3 linked regions of the Callithrix jacchus genome follow. The protein of the gene in region 2 purifies or fractionates together with the protein of the main gene of each other region. This does not show direct contact. Links are inferred from orthologs where the notes say so. Each region holds a gene or a part of one and is shown on either strand. Other genes may lie near its edges. The genes, in order: CEP97, KIF24 and CCP110.

Region 1 (3,651 bases), on a different chromosome or scaffold from region 2:
CTAGATAGTACTGCTATTCACATTTTACAGATGAGGAAACTGGCTCAGAAAGCACTAAGGAACCTGACAAGGCCACAAAGCTAACAGGTAGCAGAGAAAGAAGTGAAGCCTTCCCTTGTCTCTCCTAACCAGGTCTCACCTCTCTTTGTGGGTCTCTCTTCACATCAAACCTTTATCTCTGCCCACATCACCATGCTGCCTCTCAGACATGAAAATGTTGCCAGTCCTACTCCCATAGAAAAAGTCAACAACTGTGGAGAGGATAATCCAAGTAGACCTATATTCCAGATCGAGAACTAGTCACAGTTTGAAACAAAGTAAGGTTTACTCTCAGAGCAACACTCACAGCAGAAAAAAGAAAAAGCCACCCTTTCTTGTAGGCAAACTAGACCTGACATGTCCCTCACCCTACACCAGCACCACCACAATCTAGCACCTGGCTGCCATTCCTCACAGCCCCTGCTTTACTCAGAAACTAAGCAAAACGGCAGAGAGACAGAGAATAGAGATGCTGTCTGTAATCTACAACCCATCCTCCCATCAGGAAACTCTTCAAATAACTATAGTCCATAGTAGAGAAGAACAAAAATGGTGAGGGAGTATGTATGTGTTGAGTCCATGAATGCATGCGTGAATGTACTGAGAGGAAAAAGTGAAATGAAACATAGTAGAGAGAATAAAGTAATCTCAACTCTCACTATCCCAATTCCACTCCATCTTTCCCATATCCTAGTTCCTTACCTCCCCTGAAGCTCTGATTCCACTGATCATGTGTCAGGATCCAGAAGACTCCATTCTGCAGGAGTCCCAGATCCAAGCCACAGAAACTATCAATGATCTACAGATCGGGAATTCTCACTTCTGCCACTTCACAGGTATAAGAAGGGGAGGACCTGGCCAGGTGCGGTGGCTCATGCCTATAATCCCAGCACTTTGGGATGCCAAGGCAGGCAGACCACCTGAGGGCAGGAGTTCGGAGACCAGCCTGACTAACATGAAGAAACCCATCTCTACTAAAAATACAAAATTAGCCAGGCCTGGTGGTGCATACCTGTAATCCCAGCTACTCAGGAGGCTGAGGCAGGAGAATCACTTGAACCCAGGAGGTGGAGATTGTGGTGAGCCAAGACTGTGCCATTGTACTCCAATGGCACAACTGCCTGGGCAACAAGAGCGAAACTCCATCTCAAAAAAAAAAAGCAGGGGAGAGGACCAATCACCATGTATGCTACCAGTTCCAAATTAAAACTCTGCATTTTCCCAGAATTACCATTATAATGAGTATTTGGAGAATTCGAAGATATGACTAATACTGCCCTATGTGACTTGGCGTTAGATGATAAATAGAAAATAAAATGAATAAAAATACGGCCCTGGTAGATTAATAGATCACAGCTTTTGTGACAATGATCTGAGACCCTACATAGGTTCTAAAACATGATGGTTTCTATGCAAAAGTGTTCCAAGCTCCAAACAACTGATTAACAAAAGAACTTTTAGAAATCAAATTGTTGTATGTAGGGCACTAAGACTACTAGCTCCAACCTCCGGGGCTAAGATTTCTTTTCTTTTTTTTGTCAGAGATAGAGTATCTGTCTGTCACCCAAGGTAGAGTGCAATGGCACAACCATAACTCACTGCAACTTTAAATTCCTGGGCTCAAGCAATCCTCCCACCTCAGCTTCCTAAGTAGCTAGGACTACAGATGTGTACCACCATGCCCAGCTAATTATTATTTTTTTTTTTTAGAGATGCAGTCTCCCTGTATTGCCCAGGCTGGTCTCAAACTCCTGGGCTCAAGCGATCCTCCTGCCTCGGCTTTCTAAAGCGTGAGGATTACAAGCATGAGCCACTGCACCGGGCCAATATTGATTTCTTATCCTTTTTTAGAAATGACAGAAAATCCTAAGTGACCAGCACATAGTCTGCTATATGACTACAGTAATACTCTTAATTTCTAAATGCACATATGAAGAAATACTACTCTATTAATCTGTAGTAAACTAGAAATGGTCTTTCAGTAACATTTGTCATGTTGTTAAAGAGGGCATGTTCACCTTTCCTTCTGAGAAATCACATATCCATCTAGGACTCTGAGGTTTAAGCACCAGCTGACGATGTACGGCCGATAGTCAAATCCTGGGATGGAAGGTGCTGCCATCACACAAGGATTGTTCATAATCGACAACTGCTCCAATTCAGTTAAGGATGCCAGAAAAGAGATCTGGAACAAAAGATAACTTTGTTGAACAAAAGGACTATTCAGTGTCAAGCGCAAGCTTTCCACTGATTACACATCTTTGGCAGCATTTGAGAATGTGATAATTTCCCTCTTGTTCTGAAAAGTCACAAGTACCCACTGACTTCCAAAATTTCAACAATATAGCCATCCGTCCCTGCTGCACAAAATCCCTTAGCAAGTATCAGCACAGTTTCCTAGCAGAAAGAACCCTATTTTGAAAACATCACAGCAGCCAGGAAAGTTGGACAGGGAGTCGTATAAACCCTTATGAGGCAGATGTCCCTCTACCACCAATCACTTCCCAATGGAATGATAATTACAACTTTCCAAAGGAAATTAGATCTTAATGACCCACTGACACTAAGGAAAAGTGGAAAGAAAACTAACGATCATCTAGAGGCAAACACTTCATCTGAAGGGAACTTTCTTCTAAGCTGTTCACAATCTAAAAGCAAGCTCACAACCCTCTCCAGTGTCTTTCCTGGACTTTCCAGCTTCCTGAATCTCACAAAATACCCTCAAATTTTACCTCATTTAAGTCTCGGATTTCATTTTCTGCCAAAGAAAGTATAGCAAGACTTCTGGGTAGGTAAGCAGGTGCCATTCTAAGAGAGGTGATGATGTTTCCATGTAAAAGCAGGGTCTTGAAAGTAAAAACAGTATGAATTACAAATAAAAAGATTACAAATAAATTGGCCTATTGTGACAACACCAAAATGGCAAATGTAAGAATAAAAGAATCTACTTTATTATATTTCTCATCACACAAATCAGAGACTGTTAATGCTAGAAGGGTCCTTGATGTTCTTCTGGTCCAACTCTCTGTTTCCGTACCAGCATCCTAAGCCCCAGATACTTTAAAGATTTGCCTTAAAACACATTGTTGGCATGGCAACTAGGCATGCTATGAGATTTACGTTATGAGACACTGAGCAATTTCTAACATACTTGTTCAGTTTCTTTTAAAATATCAAAATAGAGGCCACATGTGGTGGCTCTTGCCTATAATCCCAGCATTGCGGGAGGCCAAGGAGGGAAGACCGCTTGAGCCCAGGAGTTTGAGACCAGCCTGGGCAACATTAGTGAGACCTTTTCCCTACTAAAAATCAAAAAATTAGCCAGGCATGATGGGGTGCACCTGTAGTCCCAGCTACTAGGGAGTGCTGAGGTAGGAGGATCGCTTGGGACCAGGAGGCTGAGGCTGCAGTAAGCCATGATTGCACCACTGCACTCAAGCCTGGGTGACAGCAAGACTCTGGTGTCTCAAGTTAAAAAAAAAAAAAAGGCATAAAAACAACCACATATAAAGTAAATTTTCTAAAAAAGAGAGCGATAACCTACAACCCATATTTGCAACTGTATTCTCTAGGTAACTAAAAACTAGAGGAAGGTAGAATGTGTTACTTTCA
Region 2 (4,313 bases):
AAGAAATGGATCATAGGAGGCAGGCAAAAGTGGAAAGAGGGAAATCATTTAGGAAGCTACTACATTGAATCGACAAAAAAAAAATGCTGCTGACTTGGAAAAAATGTTCCTTTCATGAGAGTTAATTGGAATAATGTAAATTCACTGCTAACTTCAATGACTGATAAACACTCAACAATATACTATTATTATTAGTGTATACCGATAGAAAACTCTTCTTATTCAACACGATGTGAACATCAAAACCCTTAAGACAGTAGCTTGAGAAGTATACAATGACCACACACTCAAAGTTTAAGAAGTTGAACTCTTATTATTTATTTAACAAAATTTATTGAGGATCTATACCATTCAAATTATAAACTGGTTTGCTGAGCCAGCATGGGGGAATGGGATTAATAGATTAATCTTCATAGAACACTAGATCTGGTAGGGATCTAGAAGAGTTCAGCCCATCACTTTGCAAACAACAAAATAGCAGCCCAGAGAAAGACACTGGTTTCTCCTAAACTACAAAGTGAGAAAATCATACCCTCGGTTGCCCCAAGGACACATTTTGAATAGCTAAAGATTTTCATTAACAATATAAAACCAGCTGGGCACAGTGGCTCATGCCTGTAATCCCAGCACTTTCAGAGGCTGAGGCGGGTGGATCATGACCAACCTGACTAAGACAGTGAAATCCCGTCTCTACTAAAAATACAAAAATTAGCCAGGTGTGGTGGCAGGTGCCTGTAATCCCAGCTACCCTGGGGGCTGAACCAGGAGAATCACTTGAACCTAGGAGGCAGAGGTTGCAGTGAGCCGCTATCACCCACTGCACTCCAGCCTGGGCGACAGAATAAAACTCTGTCTTGAAAAACAAACAAACAAAACACCATAAAACCAAAAGTTTTAAATAAAATGCTATCTCAGTATGTTAATGTGCTATACTAAGAAAAATGTAACATGTATATAAAGCCCTTGATACAGTGCTTCGTATGGGGTAAACGCTCAATAAATGGCAACTACTACTTTCAGCTGCTTTAAAAAAGACTGTATGGTCTTTGGAAGGCTTACAGCGTGTGGTCCACCTGACATCAACTACTTGACTTAATAGTAGAGCCACAAGAATTTTAATCTAATTCAATTATTTGATTTTCCAGATGGAAAAAGTGAGGTTTAAAGGGGCTCCTTGAATTCAGGAGTTCAAGGCTGTGGTGAGCTATGCTCATGTTACTGCACTACAGCCTGGGTGACAGAGCAAGACCTTGTCTCTAAAAAATAAATAATAAATAATAACAATAATAAAGGAACGAAATGACTTGCAAAGCCACCCACAGTGAATTAGTTAAGAGACAGAGCCAAAGCCAAACCCTAAATTTCCAGTCTGGTTTCCACTACATGTCACAGATCTGCAGTTTAGCTATAAGGTAGTGTTTCAAACTTTCATAAAATGGTAACAAGAACATAGCTGCTGTACTTAACTTTCTCACTCCTTTTATTAAAACTGCCAGTGAGCTATGAATTTGATATAAGGAAGAATCCCACCAACAGTCAAGCTCTGAATATATAATCCATGAGTTAACAACCAAGCAGCAATTCTATCATGGACACCTGATGAATAGATGGGCACCTGAGCAGCTGTTATATGCGCTTAAATAGACTACAAAGCCTCTCTACTTGTAGAATATAAATACAAAGAAGATGCTTTAAAACATTTTCCAAAGCACATTTAAAATGTGCTGCCGGTCACTAAGAGGCTAAAGTGAGATAAATTCTCTTGGCATACAGCAACAGAATGGTTTGTTTTAAGCAAAGACTAAAAGGAGTCTAATAAAATTATTGGGAGACCAAGGCTAAAAGCCACAAATGCAGGAAAAGTTGTAGCAACCAATCCAAAAAAGTTTAGCCTCTCACAAAGAGTAGAAAGGCCAACTGTGGACGGTGGACTTTTAGGTCCTTTTGCATATAAAATTAGGTTGCCCTCCCCCTCCCCTTGAAATAAAAAAATCGTCTCTGAAGGGGAGAGACAACGAGACAGGGCACGAAGAGGAATCCAGTCTGTTTCTTGTAAATTAAATTCAACTCAACAAATACTTCCTGAAAACCTACTATGTGCAAGACATCGTGAACGATGCTTGCCTTACCTCAAAGCCTTCAAAACTGTATGAGATAAGGGAAGAGAATGTGCTTCCCGGAAGTACACACTTCCGAATAGAAGCACATTCTCCAAGGCCGAATAGAAGCGCCTTAGAGAGGTGCCGGTCAAGGTTATGAGTTCAAAAGCAAGAGGACTCTGGGACTCAAGAATTTCGAGTCTTCCAAAGTGAGAGAAGTGGCGTTTAAGATGAATGCTAAAGAAAAGGCAGAGATATGGGGCTGAAAGGTAGGAGAGTAGGTGAACTTTCGTAAGAACCAAGAGAGGCCAACTCCCTGTTCCGTCACAACTGCGTTTCCTCCCGCGCTCAGCGGACTTCACGCGCACCCCGCGCGGGCCGGCGCCGCGGCTCCGGACCAGGCCTGCCCCTCCTCTATTCTCTCCGCCCTTTCTCACCTCGGTCCAAACTCTTCGATCGGCCCTGTCTGAGAATGCCGTCGGGAGTAAGCCCCAAGGCCCGCAACCTAACAGGTCTGTTAAGCAGCTAGCCACCACCTGCGGCCAGGCCGCATCTCCATGGCAACGCCGCCAAGCACCAGTTCGAACGCCCGCGCTAGGGCCTGCGCGTCTGCAGTCCCGAACCGCCCACCAATGGGCATCCAAAGAATCGGTTAGCGTTCCTGGACTTTTCCTCTAAAAGACCAATCAGAGGACCTAAGAAACAGTAGGCGTAACTCTCAATTTCCGACCTTCGGCCAATCGTTCCACTTGAGTGAAGATCTCGCGACGTTCTCAGTGTGAGACGGCACCTTTAAGGCAGGCCGAAGATCCTTCTCCCAAATTCTATTGGTGGTCCCAAGCGTAACCGAGCTCTTCTGATTGGCGAGTGTACTTCCAGTTTCCTTTCAAGGCCCGCCTCCAGCCTCCGTCTGCTTCGGGTAAGTAGCCTTTGGGCCCACTTGAATTTAGTTTTCAGTGGAGGAAATGATCCTCGGAGCGATGAGAATCTGCCTCTGGCAAACCTCCGGTCGCTGCAGGGCCTGAGGTGGATGCGCCCTCCTCCAAGCTGGCAGTGAGGTGTGGGCAGGCCAGGTCCCATCCGCTCGCAGGACCTCAATTTTTTTGACTGCACCGGGAGAAGGGAGGTTCCCTAACCTTGTGAGCCTTGCTTGCCCGGGTCCGAGTGGGTATGAGGTAGGTTATCCGAATCCCAGAGGCGAGAGAGGTGCAAATTTAGGGCCCAGACGCCGGGGCGCCGAACCTTCCCCTCCCTGGGCCTCAATTTCACTTTGTTGTTACCCATTAAAACCCGCCTGCTTTCCAAAAGAGATTTTATGTCTTCTAATTGCTTCAATTATTGAATGGATAATATCGTGCCAGTTATCGCAGAAGTAAAGAAGGTCTCACGAGAGCCCCACCTCCTTAAAAAAAAAGTGGCAGCTTAAACTGAATGCAATCAAATTGTCAAATGTAAAAGGTTATTATTATAAAGTCGAGGTTAAGATCATTGATGTTAGAAGTCAGGCCGACCTACATTTGAGTCACTACCCAGATATCTCTGAGCCATAGTTCCCTTTCTATTCTTCTGAAAAATGGCAGTAATGCCTCAGCGGGTTGTTGTGAAGATTTTTTTTTTTTGAGTCGGAGTTTCCCTCTGTCACCCAGGCTGGAGTTCAGTGGCGCGATCTCGGCTTGAACCCGCCTCCCGGGTTCAAGCGATTCTCCTGCCTTAGCCTCCCAAGTAGCTGGGATTACAGGCACAGGCCACCACGCCTGGCTAATTTTTGTGTTTAGTAGAGATGGAGTTTCACCATGTTGGTAAGGCTGGTCTTGAACTCCAGACCTCGTGATCCACCCGCCTCGGCCTCCCAAAGTGGTAGGATTGCAGGCATGAACCACCGCGCCCGGCCCTGTTGTGAAGATTAAGTGAAATAATGAAGGTAACACACTTGACCCACGCCTGGCAAGTAGTAACTTCTCAAAAAATGACAGCAATTTTCCTTATAATAAATAAGAGCAGGCAAATATAGTCAGTGGGTTGGTGTACTTATTGTAATTGAGTACCCAAATTTGCTCAAAATTAGTTAAGGGAAAAAAGGCAATTCTTACCAATAAGGAAACATCCATTCTTAAGATTAATTATTTTTCTAGTTTCTATATTAAAAGGAATTTATGCTGCTTGACCTTATAAGGATTTTTTTTTTTTTTTTTGAGATGGAGTTTTGCTCTTGTT
Region 3 (3,651 bases), on a different chromosome or scaffold from region 2:
AAAGTATCTCACTTATTCGCTTTCATGGAGCAGCTATCCTTTCTCCACTGGTAAACTTTGTTTGTTTTTAAATAGTTTTTTTTCTGTAGTGAACAAGTAAAGCATTTTGTGAAAAAAACAAAAGAAAGGCTTGTAAACATTTGAAGAGATGCCCTTATTCATAATTAGAGAAATAAAAATAAATTAGCATTTTTTACTTACTATTGTAGATTGGCAAAGAGCTAATAGAACCTTGTGTTCCTTAGATTGTGGAAAATGCACTTTTAATGCACTTTTGCTGAGAGAAACTGTTTATTTTTAGGTGAGCAGTTTGGTAGAATCTAAAAGCATACATAGCCTTTGACTCAGTAGTTCCATGGTATATCCTATGTGTGAGCCCAAAGAAATAAGTACAAGATTACATTAGCATTGTTTAAAATAACAAAGGTTGACAAACAACTTAAATGTCCATCAGTAGTGAAGTAGTTTAACTGTGGTCCATTTTATAAAATCTCATACATACCATTAGAGTGAGTAAGGAGATCTAAATGTTGAGACATGGAAGGATCTCCATGATCTAGTGTAAAACACTGTGCAGCATGCTGTTGGGGCAGCATAGAGTAATAGAGCTCCAGGCTTTGGGCCAGGCACAGTTGCTCATACCTGTAGTCCCAATGCTTTGAGAGGCTGGAGGGAGGAGGATTGCTTGAGACCAGGAATTTAAGACTAGCCTGGTCAACATAGCAAGACCTCAGCACTACAAAAACAATTATTTAAAAAAAATTAGCCAAGCGCAGTGACATGTGCCTGTAGTCCCAGCTACTTGAAAGCTAAGGTGGAAGGATTGCTTGAACCTAGGACTTCCAGGTTGCCATGAGCCAGGACTGCATCACTGCACTCTAGCCTGGGCTACAGGGCAAGACCTGGTCCTGAAAGAAGGAAAAAAAGCCTAGGCTCTGGAACCTTCTGGCCTGGGTCTAAATCATTGTTTTGCTACTTACTTGCTATGTAAACTTGTGGTCCATTTTCTTATTTGTTAAATGGAGATAAAATCGTGCCTACCTAATAAGTCTGTTTTGGAGATGAAATGAATTTGTAGATACAAAATGGTTAGAATACTACCTGGATCATAAGAGGTACCCAATATAAGTTAATCATTTGGGTGTTTTAAAAGATGGCTATTCCTTTTCCAGGGAGTGGTGAGAGAATATAGTAGGGAAGACACTTCATCATATACCCTTTAATACTAATTTAATATTTTAAAATGGTACATGATTTTATTTTAAATTACAAACTAATATTAGAAAAAAATAAGCTTTAAATTTATTTTTTGGTATAATAGGAGTTAAGAGATAATTTTATTTTAATTAATTTAATTGAATTTTTGAAGAGGCCAGAGCTAACTGCCAGCATAGCAAAGTTGAAAGGATATGCAATGACCACCCATAGATTTACCATTTGATTAAATAATTTTTAACATTTTTGTCATCTTTGCTTTATTGTTTGTGATTTTTATATACACGTATGTGTGTGTGTACATACATACATACAGACATTTTTCAAAATTGCCTAGCCATTTGAAAACCACTGAGACCTGACGCGGCTTCCCTAAATATTTTGATATACACTTAAAAATAAGGACATTTTTCTATTAAAACCTAATACCATTATCACATCTTAGGAAAATTAATAATTTTTAATAACATCTAATAATTCTGTTCATATTTAAAATTTTCCATTTGTGCTTAAAATGCCTTTTATAACTTTATTCCCCCAATCTGGATCTAAAGTTCACGATTAGTATTTGCTTGTTATGTTTTTTTATTTTAATCTAGAACAGCTCCTCTACATCTTAAACATAATATTTTTTATTGGCTAGGCATGGTGCTTCATGCCTGTAATCCCAGCACTTTGGGAGGCCAAGGCAGGCAGATCCCAAGGTCAAGAGCTCGAGACCATCCTAGCCAACATGGTGAAACCCTGTCTCTACTAAAAATATGAAACTTAACTGGGCGTGGTGGCATGCACCTGTAATCCCAGCTACTTGGGAGGCTGAGGCAGGAGAATCGCTTGAACCCAGATGGCGGAGGTTGCAGTGAGCCAAGATTGCATCACTGCATTCCAGCTTGGCAACAGAGTGAGACTGTCTCAAAAAAAAAAAGGAATTCTTTGGAGATGATGCCCTGTATCCTTTGTATTAAATTAAATCAGAAGTTACGTAATGTTTGGTTGTCCTCTATTAGTGATGTTTAGTTTGAACACTTGCTTACAGTAGTGACTACCAGATGGCTCTTTAAAGTACACATTTTCTCCTTTTGATTAGCAAGTAAACTGTGTAATTAGGAAAAAATTTTAAAACCACATATTTATCAGCTATTTGATAACATTGCTTAATGTTATCAAATGGACCAAATGTCTGAGGCTTGTTGTATAGGGTCTATGACTCCATCTGTTATTTATTTATAAGCAAAATATGATGTTTATGGACCTAATCCATACTTTTATGTTGTATATGATAGATGAATATTGCAACTTTTGAAATAATCTTTTAATGATATATTTTCTATTTGTGTAAGTCTACGATAAATCTTGACTCTTAACGCAGTGACCCAATTTCCCAGGACTTAATAATTAAGATTGAAATCCATTATAAAAAGATACAATGCTTAGAAGCCTTCATTTTTTTAGGTACATTAAATTTTTATTGGAAGGTAGAGATAAAAGAAAAGATGTATTCTGATTTTGTAGGCAAATAATATATTATCTGTTTCTTTTATCATTAAACCTTTGGACATTTTTTTTTTTTTGAGGCAGCAAAGAGGTAAAATGTGTACTGGTTAGAAAATTAGAACTTGTAGAATTCATTTGACCTAGTGAAGTACTTAATGTGAAGAAATATTCAAGTCAATATTCAAATGAAGTAATGAAAAACTCAGCAGTGGCCGAAAGGGCTTTAATTGTATTTCTGTCATTTTAGAACATTTGATCAGTGAACAAACTTTTTTGCTTTTTAATTTTTTTTCAATTCAAAATAATTTACATATAGCAAAATGCACAGATCTTAAGTGTTAAAGTTCCCTGAGTTTTTATATATGGCATACACCTGTATAACTCAAACTCACACAGGATATTTTCTTCACCATGGAAAGATCTCTAATGCCCCATCCCACTCAGAAGCCCAACCACTGTTCTTATTTCTTTCACTATAGATTAGTTTTGCCTGTTGCACATGTTTTTAATCTTTCTGATTCAGAACTTCCCGATTTTATGATATTTTTATTATGGGAAATAATTACATTTTTATGATGTTTTGCAGCTTAACATTGAAAAAAGAAAGGAAATGCAACAAGAAAAGCAGAAAGCACTTGATATAGAAGCAAGAAAGCAGGTTAACAGGAAGAAAGCTTTACTGACTCGTGTCCAGGAGATTCTTGACAATGTTCAGGTGTGTGATTTAAAGAAATCATAAGATAAGTATTGATGATAATTTTTCAGAAATATCAGTTGTACTTAACTAATTATTAATGTACTTGACTGTTATGTTTGAGAAGCTTCATAATTTGTGATTTTCCATTTCAGTTACTCCAAAGAGTAAGTACTTGCTTGTTAGTGATGCCCAGTACTTGAATCAGAGGATACTTACACAATGGAGCCATATACTGAATATAATTG

The links.
Region 1: the proteins of KIF24 (region 2) and CEP97 purify together in Homo sapiens (co-immunoprecipitation; 4 studies listed by BioGRID and IntAct, with this or other methods). This does not show direct contact. The link is inferred for Callithrix jacchus from reciprocal best matches to the Homo sapiens genes KIF24 and CEP97.
Region 3: the proteins of KIF24 (region 2) and CCP110 purify together in Homo sapiens (co-immunoprecipitation; 4 studies listed by BioGRID and IntAct, with this or other methods). This does not show direct contact. The link is inferred for Callithrix jacchus from reciprocal best matches to the Homo sapiens genes KIF24 and CCP110.

The regions. Positions count from the first base shown.
Region 1 is NC_133516.1:92,972,231-92,975,881, reverse strand, and holds part of CEP97 (centrosomal protein of 97 kDa), read right to left. Parts: intron 2,886-3,651; coding exon 2,772-2,885; intron 2,225-2,771; coding exon 2,058-2,224; intron 1-2,057. UniProt on the Homo sapiens protein: Acts as a key negative regulator of ciliogenesis in collaboration with CCP110 by capping the mother centriole thereby preventing cilia formation. Required for recruitment of CCP110 to the centrosome.
Region 2 is NC_133502.1:141,211,517-141,215,829, forward strand, and holds the start of KIF24 (kinesin-like protein KIF24), read right to left. Parts: upstream 2,866-4,313; 5' UTR 2,537-2,865; intron 1-2,536. UniProt on the Homo sapiens protein: Microtubule-dependent motor protein that acts as a negative regulator of ciliogenesis by mediating recruitment of CCP110 to mother centriole in cycling cells, leading to restrict nucleation of cilia at centrioles.
Region 3 is NC_133513.1:20,939,930-20,943,580, forward strand, and holds part of CCP110 (centriolar coiled-coil protein of 110 kDa), read left to right. Parts: coding exon 1-50; intron 51-3,295; coding exon 3,296-3,424; intron 3,425-3,651.